Anolis sagrei: one gene and its partner. The protein of the gene in region 2 purifies or fractionates together with the protein of the main gene of each other region. This does not show direct contact. Links are inferred from orthologs where the notes say so. Each region holds a gene or a part of one and is shown on either strand. Other genes may lie near its edges.

Region 1 (7,113 bases), on a different chromosome or scaffold from region 2:
AACAAGGCATTTGGGGGAGAGGAGGCACTGATGATGATGATAATAATAATTTGAGGAGAACAAGCCATTTGGGGGAAAGGAGGCACTGATGATGATGATGATAATAATAATAATAACATTTTGAGGAGGACAAGCCATTTGGGGGAAAGGAGGAACTGATAATAATCGTAGTAATAATAATAATAATTTGAGGAAAACATGCCATTTGGGGGAAAGGAGGAACTGATAATAATAGTAGTAATAATAATAATAATTTGAGGAAAACATGCCATTTGGGGGAAAGGAGGAACTGATAATAATAGTAGTAATAATAATAATAATTTGAGGAAAACAAGCCATTTGGGGGAAAGGAGGAACTGATAATAATAATAATAATAATAATAATAATATTTTGAGGAGGACAAGCCATTTGGGGGAAAGGAGGAACTGATAATAATAGTAATAATAGTAATAATAATAATAATTTGAGGAAAACAAGCCATTTGGGGGAAGGAGGCACTGATAATTATTATTATTATTATTATTATTATTATTTGAGGAAAACAAGCCATTTGGGGGAGAGGAGGCACTGATTATAAATCTGACTATCTCACCAGACTAATTGTTGCAAATGACAATTAAAAAATCTCCTGAAAATTGGGATATAATAATAATAATTTGAGGAAAATGAGTCATTTCATAACCTTTGGGAGAGAGGAGGTACTGAATCTGACTGTCTCACGAGACTAACTGTTGCCAGCAATGCTTTAAAATCTCCTTTAAGGGAGGGAAGTAGGATATAAATATGATAATAATAATACTTTGGGGAAAATGTGTGGATTCATAAACTTTGGGAAAATTTCACTGTCCCACTGGATCAACTGTTGCAAGCTCCTTTAAGATAGGATATAATAATAATAAGATAAAATAATATATAATATAACATAATATATAAATATTAAATATTGATATTTAATATTCTATAAAAACATATAATAAATCTTTCTATTTTTTACTTTCACTACTTTATTTTCCTTTTTAGACTTTTCACATTACACTTATTACCTCACTTTTTTCTCTCTTTTCCTCCTCTTTTCTGTTGTTTTGTTGTTCTCTCCTTTTATTTTACATTATATATATATTTCCTATTCTTATACTTATGTATGCTAATAAAGATTATTTTTTTCAAAGTCTCCTTTAAGAAAAGAAATAATAATATAAAATAATAATTTAATAATATATAATATAATAAAATTACAATTAAATGAAAATATATAATATAATATATTCTATTCTATTATAAATATATTTATAAAATATTATATTATAATATAAAATAATAATATGATATATAATATAATATATAATATAATAATATTTATTAAATGAAAATATATAATATATTCTATTACATTATAAATATATTTATAAAATAATATTATAATATAAAATAATATGATATATAATATAATATAATATCTATAATATATTAATATAAAAATGATATGGAATAAGAGTGATGATAATAAGACGAAGAAGAGGTCCTTGCCAACTGCTCAAGACCTATTGTATTATAATATAAATATATTTATAAAATAATATTATAATATAAAATAATATGATATATAATATAATATAATATCTATAATATATTAATATAAAAATGATATGGAATAAGAGTGATGATAATAAGACGAAGAAGAGGTCCTTGCCAACTGCTCAAGACCTATTGTATTATAATATAAATATATTTATAAAATAATATTATAATATAAAATAATATGATATATAATATAATATAATATCTATAATATATTAATATAAAAATGATATGGAATAAGAGTGATGATAATAAGACGAAGAAGAGGTCCTTGCCAACTGCTCAAGACCTATTGTATTATAATATATTAATATAAAAATAATATGAAATAAGAGTGATGATAATAAGACGAAGAAGAGGTCCCTGCCAACTGCTCAAGACCTATTGTATTATAATATAAATATATTTATAAAATATTATATTATAAAATAATAATATGATATATAATATAATAATATTTATTAAATGAAAATATATAATATATTCTATTACATTATAATATAAATATGTTTATAAAATATTATAATATAAAATAATATGATATATAATATAATATTTATTAAATAAAATATATAATATAATAATATATATTATAATATTATAATATAATATATTAATATAAAAATAATATGAAATAAGAGTAATGATAATAAGACGATGAAGAGGTCCCTGCCAACTGCTCAAGACCTTTTCGAGACTCTTTTAATAACCTCATCCATCTCCAAGATTTTAAAGTCACGACGGCAAGACACTATTTTTTTTTACAAAGCAAGGCTGCATTCCTGGGACTCAACGCGAGGAAAAAAGCCCCAAAGCCCTATTTCTTCTTCTCCCCCATTCGCGAATCTGGCCTAACTTTTATGAATGGCCGAGGTGGAGGAGCAGGTAGAGTGTAACCCGATCCCGGCGCAAGGTCCCCCTTCACCATGTATGCCTAGAGAGAGCTCTCCTTCTCCCCCCCTCCAGCGGCGCACTTTCCAGCTCGCTCCATTCACGAAACGCCACCCCTCTCCAGAACGCCGCCCCCGCCCTCCAGGCTCCATTCACAGAAAAAAAAGAGCCAGCTCCATTCATAAAAAGCGCCCACATCCAGCCAAGGGGAAAAAACAACCCACAGCGTCGCTTCCACCGCGCAGAGCCAGTGCCTTGGGCTCCTCCACCAAATCCCTCCGGGCTCCAGCCCCCCAAGACTTCGCCTCCTTCCAGGCCCCGCTCTAGCGAAGCTTGCACCCCAATATTAGCACCTGCACCCCCGCCTTCCCCTCGAAAGCCCTTCCCTCCCCTCCTCCGTGCGAATAGGGCTCTCTTTGGAGGGCTCTCACCTGCCCCATAGAGAACCGCCTCGCTGCCGCTCGAAGCCCCGTGTCTCCGCCGGGTTTGCAGCCGGAGCCCCCGAGCGGCCTCCAGAGCCCGCCTTCGCGCCCGCCCGCCATTGGCCCGCAGCCCTGCCAGCGGTTGTCAATCCCAGCTTGTTTACCCTACCGGGCCGCCAATGAAGCTCGGAGGTGAGGCCGCCTCCCAGTTTATGAATGGTCGCCGTTGCCCAGAGCGGCGTTCTAATCCCGCCTCCTGGCAACGATGGAGTGTGGAAGGGGGTTTCACCCTCCCCTCGGGGGAGAGGCAGCCAATCAAGGCGGCTCTGATTTACATACTGTTTCGAGGAGCGTTTTCATTCATAAAAAAAAGAGAGAGGAGATATATATCGCGTTCCGAGGGTGAGGCAGAAGCGAGGAGAGATTTAAAGGCACAGCGCACCCTTTTTTTGTTGCAAGCTATAAGGAAGGGGCTATAAAGCCGTGATTTACATACTGCTTCGAGGAGCGTTTTCATTCATAAAAGAAAGAGAGCTCTATAGCGTCCTGGGGATGAGGCAGAAGCAAAGAGAGACTTAAAGGGACCACGCACAATTTCTCTTTGCCAACTAGGCTACGAATTGTTCTGATCTGGCTATGACCAGAGTTTGCCCTGCCTTGAATTATTGTGTGTGTGTGTGTGTTTGGGGCACTTTCCCTGTTGCAATATCATATTCGGAAATTTGGCAGAGATTGCCACAAAAGGCCACTCACTCCCTATTTTGTTTATCTTAACTATGGCTCTCTCTCTCTCTCTCTATATATATATACTAGCCGTCCCCTGCCACGCGTTGTTGTGGCCCAGTCTGTGCATATGTGTTTTGTGTGTGTATATATGTGCGTATATGTTTGTGTTTTTGTGTATATATGTGTTTTGTGTATATATGTGGTTTTGCACATGTGTTGTAATGTATTTTTGGGGTTTTTTTTGGCTTTTTAAGTCTCTTCTGCTCTGTTTTTCAGTGTTTTTATGGCCTGATACGTGTGTTGTGTCCAAATTTGGTGTCAATTAGTCCAGTGGTTTTTGAGTTATGTTAATCTCACAAACAAACATCACACACACACACAGATATATAAATATATATGCGTGTGTGTATATAGTGTGTGTGTATATATATACTAGCTGTCCCCTGCCACGCGTTGCTGTGTTAGTCATGGGGGTTCTGTGTGGGAGGTTTGGCCCAATTCTATCATTGGTGGGGTTCAGAATGCTCTGTGATTGTAGGTGAACTATAAATCCCAGCAACTACAACTCCCAAATGTCAAGATTCTATTTTCCCCAAACTCTACCAGTGTTCACATTTGGGCATATTGAGTATTCGTGTAGAGTTTGGTCCAGATCCATCATTGTTTGAGTCCACAGTGATCTCTGGATGTAGATGAACTACAACTCCAAAAGCAAAGGACACTGCCCACAAAACCCTTCCAGGACTTTCTGTTGGTCATGGGAGAACTGTGTGCCAAGTTCGGTTCAGTTCCATCGTTGATGGAGTTCAGAATGCTCTTTGATTGTAGGTGAACTATAAATCTCAGCAACTACAATTCCCAAATGACAAAATCAATTTTTTTTTTTAGTGAAGGACATACATTGGGTTGTTAGGTGTCTTGTGCCCAAATTTGGTGTCAATTCATCCAGCGGTTTTTGAGTTCTGTTAATCCCACAAACGAACATTACATTTTTATTTATATAGATATCGTGTGTGTGCGTGTGTGTGTGTGTCTATTAAGGTGGTACCAAAGGTGGTACCAAACTGCATTAATTCTACACTATTTGCCCCATAGTTTGCCACTCTTAAATAGATGCCCTGCTCCTTCTATTAACTTGTTTCAGTCTCCTTGAAGTCTGTAGGATTAAACTTGCATCTGGAAGACAGCAATGCTTGTGCAACACTGGGGAATTTACAGTATTTCTGAACTTAGGATGCATTAGATCAGGAGGGTTTCCTCCAGTTTCTTTTCAGCAGGTTAGAATGGCAATTACAATACAAAAATAAAAGAAAGCCACTCCCCTACACTCTTTGCATTGATTTATTCGGGTATTAAAACAATTGAAACCTTCCTTTCATCTTTATGGATGAGTACAAATATATTTAAAACGCTGGTATAACCTCCTCAGGAGAAGAATCAACATGGGGAATATTTCAAGAGTGTTTCATTTTTAGGCGGGCATCTACGCCAGGCTTAGGCAAACTTCGGCCCTCCTTGTGTTTTGGACTTCAACGCCCACAATTCCTAACAGCCTCAGGCCCTTTGCTTTCTCCCCTCAGCCACTTAAGCTGAGTTGAAATTTTCCCAAGCCTGATCTACACTGTAGAAATAATGAAGTTTGACACCAACCTACATAACTTAGGAAAATAATACCTGGTGTCAACTCCCACTTGAACTGCAAGCTTTCCCCACTCTCCTGTGGTGCAGCGGGTCAAACCGCTAAGCTTGCTGATCAGAAGGTTGGTGGTTTGAATCCAGGGGAGTGGGTGAACTCCCACTGTTAGGCGCAGCTTCTGCCAACCTAGCAGTTTGAAAACATGCAATTGTGAGTAGATCAATAGGTACTGCTTCTGCGGGAAGGTAATGGCGCTCCATGCAAGTCATGCTGGCCACATGACTTTAGAGGCGTCTATGGACAACACAGGCTCTTCGGCTTAGAAATGGAGATGAGCACCATTCACCAGAGTCAGACATAATTAGACTTAATGTCAGGGGAAACCTTTACCTTGAGAGTCACTCTCTTTGCTCAGGATATGTTTTTCCAAGGTGTAGCTTGTATACAACAGGGAAAGAAATTGTGCAGCAAGAAACAGTTTTTTTTAATGCATGGGCCATAGACTTTAGTGAAGAACATTTTTTTTATTAAACAGTTGAGAAAATGAGGAACACAAAATCCAAAAGACACCATTACCATATTATTAAATATAGACATTATTCCAAGGTGTAGCTGGGCATATTGTGTGCAATAGGAAAATAAAATGTGTCGTAAGTAGTAGTTATTTTACTTGTAAATGAAATCTTAGTCTTGGTCAGGACAAAGTGGTTTAAGGTTATCAGGGGTTAATATTGGAACCAACTACCTGATTGTTCCATTTGTGAGAGCTGTTCAGTAGTGGAACTCTCTGCCCCGGAGTGTGGTGGAGGCTCCTTCTTTGGAAGCTTTTAAACAGAGGTTGGATGGCCACCTGTTGGGAATACTTTGAATGTGATTTTCCTGCTTCTTGGCAGGGGGTTGGACTAGATGGCCCATACGGTCTCTTCCAACTTTATGTTTCTATGATTCCATGGCTGGAAGATGCTTTTGTTTATATCAACCATAGCATCGCCTTTTCTAGGCCATAGACCTGATCCTCCATAGCAATTTAATATTAATAGGCCTTTTTAGAAGAGATCCTGAGTACAGTACTCACTCCTGCTTTATGAATTCAAGGCATATCAGGAAACTGCAGAAGTATAACTTCTTTTATAATTTCTTCTATAGTTGAAATTAAAATACATTACCATGTTTATGCAAGCCTGAGGTCAGCCCACACTTACTTCACTGCCACGCTCAGGGCATATCACTTTCTGAAAGTACTGCCTACCTACAACTATTTTACATTTACTGATTACTATCTGAAGACCAAATGGGTGTGATGCACCTGAGGATTGTGCAAATTTGGGTTGAACTGCAGTTATAGGATAGTGATTGCTCGGTAGTGACTTAGCTCACATGTGGCACTTGGTGAAGCAACTGCATCATCTCTTCTAGATGAACACAGCACCTCACAGATGTGTCCTATCTCACCACACCTGTCAGATACTATACCTGTCTGATGCAGTCAAGCTGACCTTCATGATGCATGTGTCGGTTTGGCAATCTAGGCTTCACCTGGGGCAAACTCTTTTTTCATTACAGCCTTAGTTCAGTTCATGAATCTGTTTGTATGGATTATTGCTTGAAGGGATGGGCAACAGTAATTTTCCTATTGTTATTCAGCTCCCATCAGAAGTACTGAACATGGCCAATGGCCAAGGATGATAGGTTTTGAAATACAAGAGCATTAAGAAGGTCACAATTGCTTAACTCTACAATGTGATCTTCCTGAAAATAGCCCCCTTTGGTCTTTTCAGTCCATATGTGAAGGTTTGGATGGAGTTGTGTCTTTCATGTTGATGTTGTAGTTGTGTGCCTTCAAGGCATTTCCAGTTCAT
Region 2 (7,261 bases):
CACAGTGATCTCTGGATGTAGGTGAACTACAACTCCAAAACTCAAGGTCAATGCCCACCAAACCCTTCCAGTATTTTTGTTAGTCATGGGAGTTCTGTGTGCAAAGTTTGGCTCAATTCCATTGTTGATAGAGTTCAGAATGCTCTTTGATTGTAGGCGAACTATAAATCCCAGCAACTACAACTCCCAAATGACAAAATCAATGTTTTTGAGTGATGGTCACTCGTTGGCCTGATGGGCATATTGTGTCCAAATTTGGTGTCAATTCGCCCAGTTGTCTTTGAGTTATGTCAATCCCACAAAGGAACATTACATTTTTATTTTATAGATTACCATCATATGTGTATGTTGTTTTGCATGTGCGTTGTAGCATTATTTTATTTTATATTTTTGCTTTTTAAGTCTCTTCTGCTGTATATTTCAGTGTTTTTAGGAGTGATGGTCACTTGTTGGCCTGAAAGGTGTGTTGTGTCTAAAATTGGTATCAATTTGTCCAGTGGTTTTTGAGTTATGTTAACCCCACAAACAAACATTACATTTATCTATCTATCTATCTATCTATCTATATATGCTCTGTGCATGAGTACCTTAAAAACAAAAGAACTAATGGGCAAAATCACACCAAATTTGGCAACAAAATGTCTCTCTACACAAGGAGTGACCATCAATCAAAACATTATGGTTTTGTCATTTGGGAGTTGTAGTTGCTGGGATTTATAGTTGACCTACAATCAAAGAGCATTCTGAACTCCACCAACGATGGACTTGAACCAAACTTGGCACACAGAACTCCCATGACCAACAGAAAATACTGGAAAGGTTTGGAGGGCATTGACCTTGAGTTTGGGAGTTATAGTTCACATATATCCAGAGAGCACTGTGGACTCAAACAATGATGGATCTGGACCAAATTTGGCATGAATATTCAATATGCCCAAATATAAACACAGATGGCGTTTGGGGGAAATAGACCTTGACATTTGGAAGTTGTAGTTACTGGGATTTATAGTTCACCTACAATCAAGGAGCATTCCAAACCTCACCAACGATGGAATTGGGACAAACATCCCACACAAAACCCCCATGACCAAAAGGAAATACTGTGTTTCCTGGTGGTCTTTGGTGACCCTTCTGACACCCCCCTGGTGACCCCCCCCCCTTGGTGTATTGACTTCCCAGGTTGAGAAATGCTGCCTTAAGGCCATCCAGTCCAGCTCCCTTCACCAGGGCAACAAAACAAAGCCCTCCTGACAAAGCGCCATCCAGCCATTCACACACACACATATATATATGTGTGTATATGACAGATGTATATCAAAGATTTGAAAGGGACCCCTAAAGCAAACCAGACAATCTCCACTGGCAAAGAAACAACAAGGAAGCTCCAACTGGTCCAACGGGCGGCAGCCATGATACTAACAGGAGCGGGACGCAGGGAGCATACAACCCCCCCTACTGTACCAGCTCCACTGGCTGCCGATCTGCTACCGGGCTCAATACAAATTGCTGGCATTGGCCTATAAAGCCCTAAACGGTTCCGGCCCAAGATACCTAACTGACCGCCTCTCGGCCTATGAGCCCACGAGGACTTTGAGATCTTCCGGGGAGGCTCTGCTCTCGATCCCGCCTGCTTAACAGGCACGGCTGGCGGGGACGAGAGATAGGGCCTTCTCGGTGGTGGCGCCTCGGCTGTGGAACGCTCTTCCCGTGGACATCAGGCTAGCTCCCTCCCTGTTGATATTCCGCAGGAAATTAAAGACCTGGCTATTTAAGAAGGCATTTGAACAAGAAGTGATTGGTAATTTGACCATAGGAATGGAACAACGGAAATGATACCAGATTGTGGGTTTGACGATGAGACGACACGGAATGGCTTTTGTAGTAATGTTGATGTTTTTGATGATGATGTTTTTGATGATGATGTTTTTGTTTAATGCTGGATGTGAATTTTATATTATGTCTTGAATTGTTGAATTTTGTTCTTTCTATGTTGTACACCGCTGTGAGTCGCCCCCAGGCTGAGAACAGCGATATATAAGCAAAGTAAATAAATAAAGTAAATAAAACAAAGCCCTCCTGACAAAGGGCCATCCAGCCATTCACACACACACACACATATGACAGATGCAGTACCAAAGATTTCAAAGGGAACCCCGAAAAAAGGACAATGATATGTTACATGTTCCAGAGTAGGCAAACCAGACAATCTCCACATCAACACTGGCAAAGAAACAGCAAGAAATACTGTTTACTCAGAAACATTAAGAAATCACATATATTAGAAACCAACACATTCTCATTACTTCATTTCCAGATCACCAGACTGGGCCACAGCAACGCGTGGCAGGGGACAGCTAGTATTTATATATATAGATAGATTAAACCTTGAGGAATTCTGGGAGCTAAAGGACCAAAGATGGGGCGCATAGGAGTGACCTGCAAGATGGGTGTATGTAAGGCCAAGACTCGCTGTAGCAACTGAAGAGGAGGCAGGTAAGCAATGGCTAGCCTTCTCCCCCTCCCCCGCTCCTTCCCCATCTGGGCGCCCCTCGCTCACCACACGAAGTCGTTGCTTTTGTCTTCGTAGGAGTTCAGGAGGCCATTGCAGAGCGGCGTCAGCAGTGGCCTCTTCCTGCTGCTGCTGTTGGCGCTGCCTGGGCCGCTGCTCCCAGCCCGGCCTCCCCCCGCCAGGCGAGCCAGGCCTGCACTGCTGGAGGAAGAGCCCGAGGCAGCGGCCGCCACCAAGACAGGCCGCGCAGGGGCCCCCAGCCCCACTGAGGCGGAAGAGGACGAGGCGCCCGAAGCCGCCGAAGCAGTGCCCGAAGAGGCCGAGGTGGTGACCGAAGGGGAGGACGTGGAGGAGGACCCCGGGGGAGGAGGCCCGGCCGCGGAGTGCTGAGGCGGCTGCCGGCTCCCCGACATCCCGGCTCCGGCTCAGCGCATCTCCCCCGACGCTCCGAGAGGGGAGCGGGCCGCACCAAGGCTTCCTCTCAGAGGAGGAGAAGGAAGGAGGAGGAGGACGGGCGCCTGCTTGGGAGCGCGTGCGCAGCACCTGATTGGCCCCTACGCCTGCCAGGGAGCGCGTGCGTGGCACCTGATTGGCCCCTGCGCCCGCCCTCAAACCAAAGGGGCGGGGCGGAGGCTCCCAACACCCTCCCTTCTCGTCGGAACTTGATTCAGGGGCCGGCACTGCGCGTGCGCAACCTCCATAGCGTCTTCAACGCGTCGAAGTTGTTTTTGTTTTTTTGGGTCGTCACGTCGTAACGGAGCAGGCAAAGGTCAACGCGCCTGCGCAAGAGGGCTGGACAGCGGTAGCCTAGCAACCACAGCGGCCTATCACATTTGGTCAGCGCGTGGAGGAAGGCTTGTGTTTTAGGGCTGAAAATGGTTCAAAAGTCATTCCAAAATTAGGGGACGCTGGCATTTCATAGAATCACAGAATTGGAAGAGACCTCGTGAGCTATCCAGTCCAACCCCCTGCCAAGAAGGAGGAAAATCGCATTTATTTATTTATTTATTTGCTTTATTTCTATACCGCATTTTTCAGCCTAAATTAGGCGACTCAATGCGGTTTACACAATGCAGGTTATCACAACAATAAACAGTTAAAACACATCATACACAGCAACAAAATCAACAATTATTATCAATTCATAACGCCTCGATAACAGAGCAAAATCCATTCTCATAATCCTTGTGCCATTCCTATGTTCAATTTTACCGTCTTCCTGTGTTCAGTTGCACCGTTTAGCCAAACGCTTGCTCGTAGAGCCAAGTCTTAACCTTCTTCCGAAACGCCAGCAGCGAAGGGGCCTGTCTGATGTCTACAGGTAGGGCATTCCATAGCCGAAGGGCCACCACCGAGAAGGCCCTGTCCTTCGTCCCCGCCAGCCGTGCCTGATCTTAACGTCCACGTCGGTTCATAGGTGGAGATGCGTTCGGAGAGGTAAGTGGGGCCGGAACCGTTTAGGGCTTTGTAGGCTAACGCCAGCACCTGAATTGTGCCCGGTAGCGGATTGGCAGCCAGTGGAGCTGGCTCAACAGAGGAGTGGTATGCTCCCTGAGTGCCGCTCCTGTTAACAACCTGGCTGCCGAGCGCTGGACCATCTGAAGCTTCCGGGAAGTCTTCAAGGGCAGCCCCACATAGAGCGCGTTGCAGTAATCTATACAGGATGTAACCAGAGCGTGGACTACCGTGGCCAAGTCAGACTTCCCAAGGTACGGGCTCAGCTGGCGCACAAGTTTTAATTGTGCAAATGCTCCCCTGGTCACCGCCGAGACCTGGGGTTCCAGACTCAGTGATGAATCCAGGATCACACCCAAGCTGTGAACCTGTGTCTTCAGGGGGAGTGTGACCCCGTCCAACACAGGCTGTAACCCTATACCCTGTTCGGCCTTGCGACTGACCAGGAGTGCCTCTGTCTTCTCTGGATTCAATTTCAATTTGTTAGCCCTCATCCAGTCCGACACAGCGGCCAAGCACCGGTTCAGGACCTGAACAGCCTCCTTAGTAGTAGGTGGAAAGGAGTGACAGAGTTGGACATCATCTGCGTACAGATAACACCGCACCCCGAAACTCCGGATGATCTCTCCCAACGGCTTCATGTAGATGTTAAACAACATGGGGGACAGTATTGAACCCTGCGGGGCCCCACAAGACAATGGTTGTGAGGACGAGCAGTTGTCCCCCATCAACACCTTCTGGGTACGATCCTCTAGGAAGGACCTGAGCCACTGCAAAACAGTGCCACCAAGGCCCATTCCCGCGAGGCGTCCCAGAAGGATACCGTGGTCGACGGTATCGAAGGCCGCTGAGAGATCCAACAGGACCAACAGGGACACATTCCCCCTGTCTAGCTCCCGGCGGAGATCATCCACTAAGGCGACCAAGGCTGTCTTGGTACCATGCCCCGGCCTAAAGCCAGACTGTGCCGGATCCAGATAATCCGTGTCTACCAAGAATACCTGAAGTTGTGAGGCCACCACACGTTCCAGGACTTTGCCCAAAAAGGGGAGATTGGAAACAGGATGATAGTTGACAAATTGAGTGGGGTCCAGTGATGGTTTTTTCAACAGCGGTTTTATTACAGTTTGTTTTAAGCTGGCTGGAATTTTGCCTTCCCGAAGGGAGGCATTAACCACCACTTCCACCCACTCGGCCAATCCCCCTCTGGCTTCCTTCACGAGCCAGGATGGGCAGGGGTCTAGGATGCCTGTGTTTGCTCTCATTCCTCCAAGTATCTTGTCCACATCCTCGGGTTTCACCAATTGAAATGAATCCATCAAAATCGGACAAGCAGGTGCTCGTGTTACATCCTCAGAGACTGCCGTTAACATGGTATCCAGGCCAGAACGGATCAAAGCGACTTTGTCCGCAAAGAACTGAGCAAATGCTTCACAGCGGGCCGTTGAGTTGTCAGGGTTCCCCTCCGGAGTGGTGTGGTTTAATAGACCTCTGACAACTCAAAACAGCTCCGCCGGACGGTTCTTTGCGGACGCAATATTGGCCGCAAAGAAAGATTTCTTTGCCGCCTTTATTGCCACGGCATATGCCCTTAGAAGCACCCCCGACAGATGGCCATCCAGCCTCTCTTTTAAAGCTTCCAAAGCTTCCATTTTATATTGCTTACTGTGTTGTTGTTGTTCATTCGTTCAGTTGTTATTTATTTATTTATCGTGTCATCAGCAGCCATACCATTGTATTACATTTGTAACAGAACCAAACAAACAAACATTAAAAAAGGAAAAAAATTGTAAACTTGGTAGTTGATTAAATGTCCTTTGACCAGTATCTGGCCACTTGGAGTGCCTCTGGTGTTGCCTTTCCTGAAGGTCCTCCATTGTGCATGTGGCAGGGCTCAGGGTGCATTGCAGCAGGTGGTCAGTGGTTTGCTTTTCTCTGCACTCGCATGTCATGGATTCCACTTTGTAGCCCCATTTCTTGAGGTTGGCTCTGCATCTCGTGGTGCCAGAGCGCAGTCTGTTCAGCGCTTTCCAAGTAGCCCAGTCTTTGGTGTGCCCAGGAGGGAGTCTCTCATCTGGTATCACCCACGGATTGAGGTGCTGGGTTTGAGCCTGCCACTTTTGAACTCTCGCTTGCTGAGGTGTTCCAGCGAGTGTCTCTGTATATCTTAGAAAACTATTTCTTGATTTAAGTCGTTGACGTGCTGGCTGATACCCAAACGGGATGAGTTGGAGATGTTACCTGCTGCAATGCCTTGGTCCTTTCACTATTGGCTGCTACTTCCCGGCGGATGTCAAGTGGTGCAACAGTGGCTAAGGAGTGTAATTTCTCCAGTGATGTAGAGCGCAGACGCCCCATGATAATGCGGCATGACTCATTAAGAGCCACATCCACTGTTTTAGTGTGGTGAGATGTGTTCCACACTGGGCATGCGTACTCAGCAGCAGAGTAGCACAGCACAAGGGCGGATGTCTTCACTGTGTCTGGTTGTGATCCCCAGGTTGTGCCAGTCAGCTTTCTATGATATTGTTTCTAGCACCCACTTTTTGCTTGATGTTCAGGCAGTGCTTCTTGTAGGTCAGAGCACGATCCAAAGTGACTTCCAGGTATTTGGGTGTGCTGCAATGCTCCAGTGGGATTCCTTCCCAGGTGATCCTCAGAGCTCGGGATAATTGTCTCTTCTTAAGGTGAAAGGCACATGTCTGTGTTTTAGATAGATTAGGGATCAGTTGATTTTTCCTGTAATAGGCAGTAAGAGCACCTAGAGCTTCAGAGAGCTTCTGTTCAACCATCTCAAAGCTCCCTGTTTGAGTGGTAATGGCACAATCATCAGCATAGATGAAACTCTCTGTCACTTCTGACAGTGGCTGGTCATTTGTGTAAATGTTGAACATGGATGGGGCCAGCATGCTCCCCTAAGGTAGGCCGTTCTTCTGTTTCCGCCATCTGCTTCTCTGGCTCTGGAACTCAACAAAAAAAGCTCCTGTTTTGTAGCAGGTTTCCTATGAGGCGCGTGAGGTGGTAGTCCTTTATGATATTATACATTTTTCTCAGGAGGAGGCGGTGGTTCACAGTATCATAGGCTGCTGACAGATTTATGAAGACAGCTCCTGTGATCTGCTGCCTTTCAAAGCCATCTTCTCTGTGCTGAGTCAGGTTCAACACTTGCAATGTGAAGCTTTTGCCTTTCCTGAAGCCAGCTTGCTGTGGAATCAGACAGACGTTTAACGACTTAAATCTAGAAATAGTTTTCTAAGATCTACAGAGACACTCGCTGGAACACCTCAGCAAGCGAGA

Evidence for each region.
Region 1: the proteins of COP1 (region 2) and ETV5 purify together in Homo sapiens (affinity purification with mass spectrometry; 6 studies listed by BioGRID and IntAct, counting the BioPlex papers as one, with this or other methods). This does not show direct contact. The link is inferred for Anolis sagrei from reciprocal best matches to the Homo sapiens genes COP1 and ETV5.

The regions. Positions count from the first base shown.
Region 1 is NC_090023.1:222,984,395-222,991,507, forward strand, and holds the start of ETV5 (ETS translocation variant 5), read right to left. Parts: upstream 3,007-7,113; 5' UTR 2,902-3,006; intron 1-2,901. UniProt on the Homo sapiens protein: Binds to DNA sequences containing the consensus nucleotide core sequence 5'-GGAA.-3'.
Region 2 is NC_090024.1:128,579,085-128,586,345, reverse strand, and holds the start of COP1 (E3 ubiquitin-protein ligase COP1), read right to left. Parts: upstream 3,021-7,261; 5' UTR 2,923-3,020; coding exon 2,558-2,922; intron 1-2,557. UniProt on the Homo sapiens protein: E3 ubiquitin-protein ligase that mediates ubiquitination and subsequent proteasomal degradation of target proteins.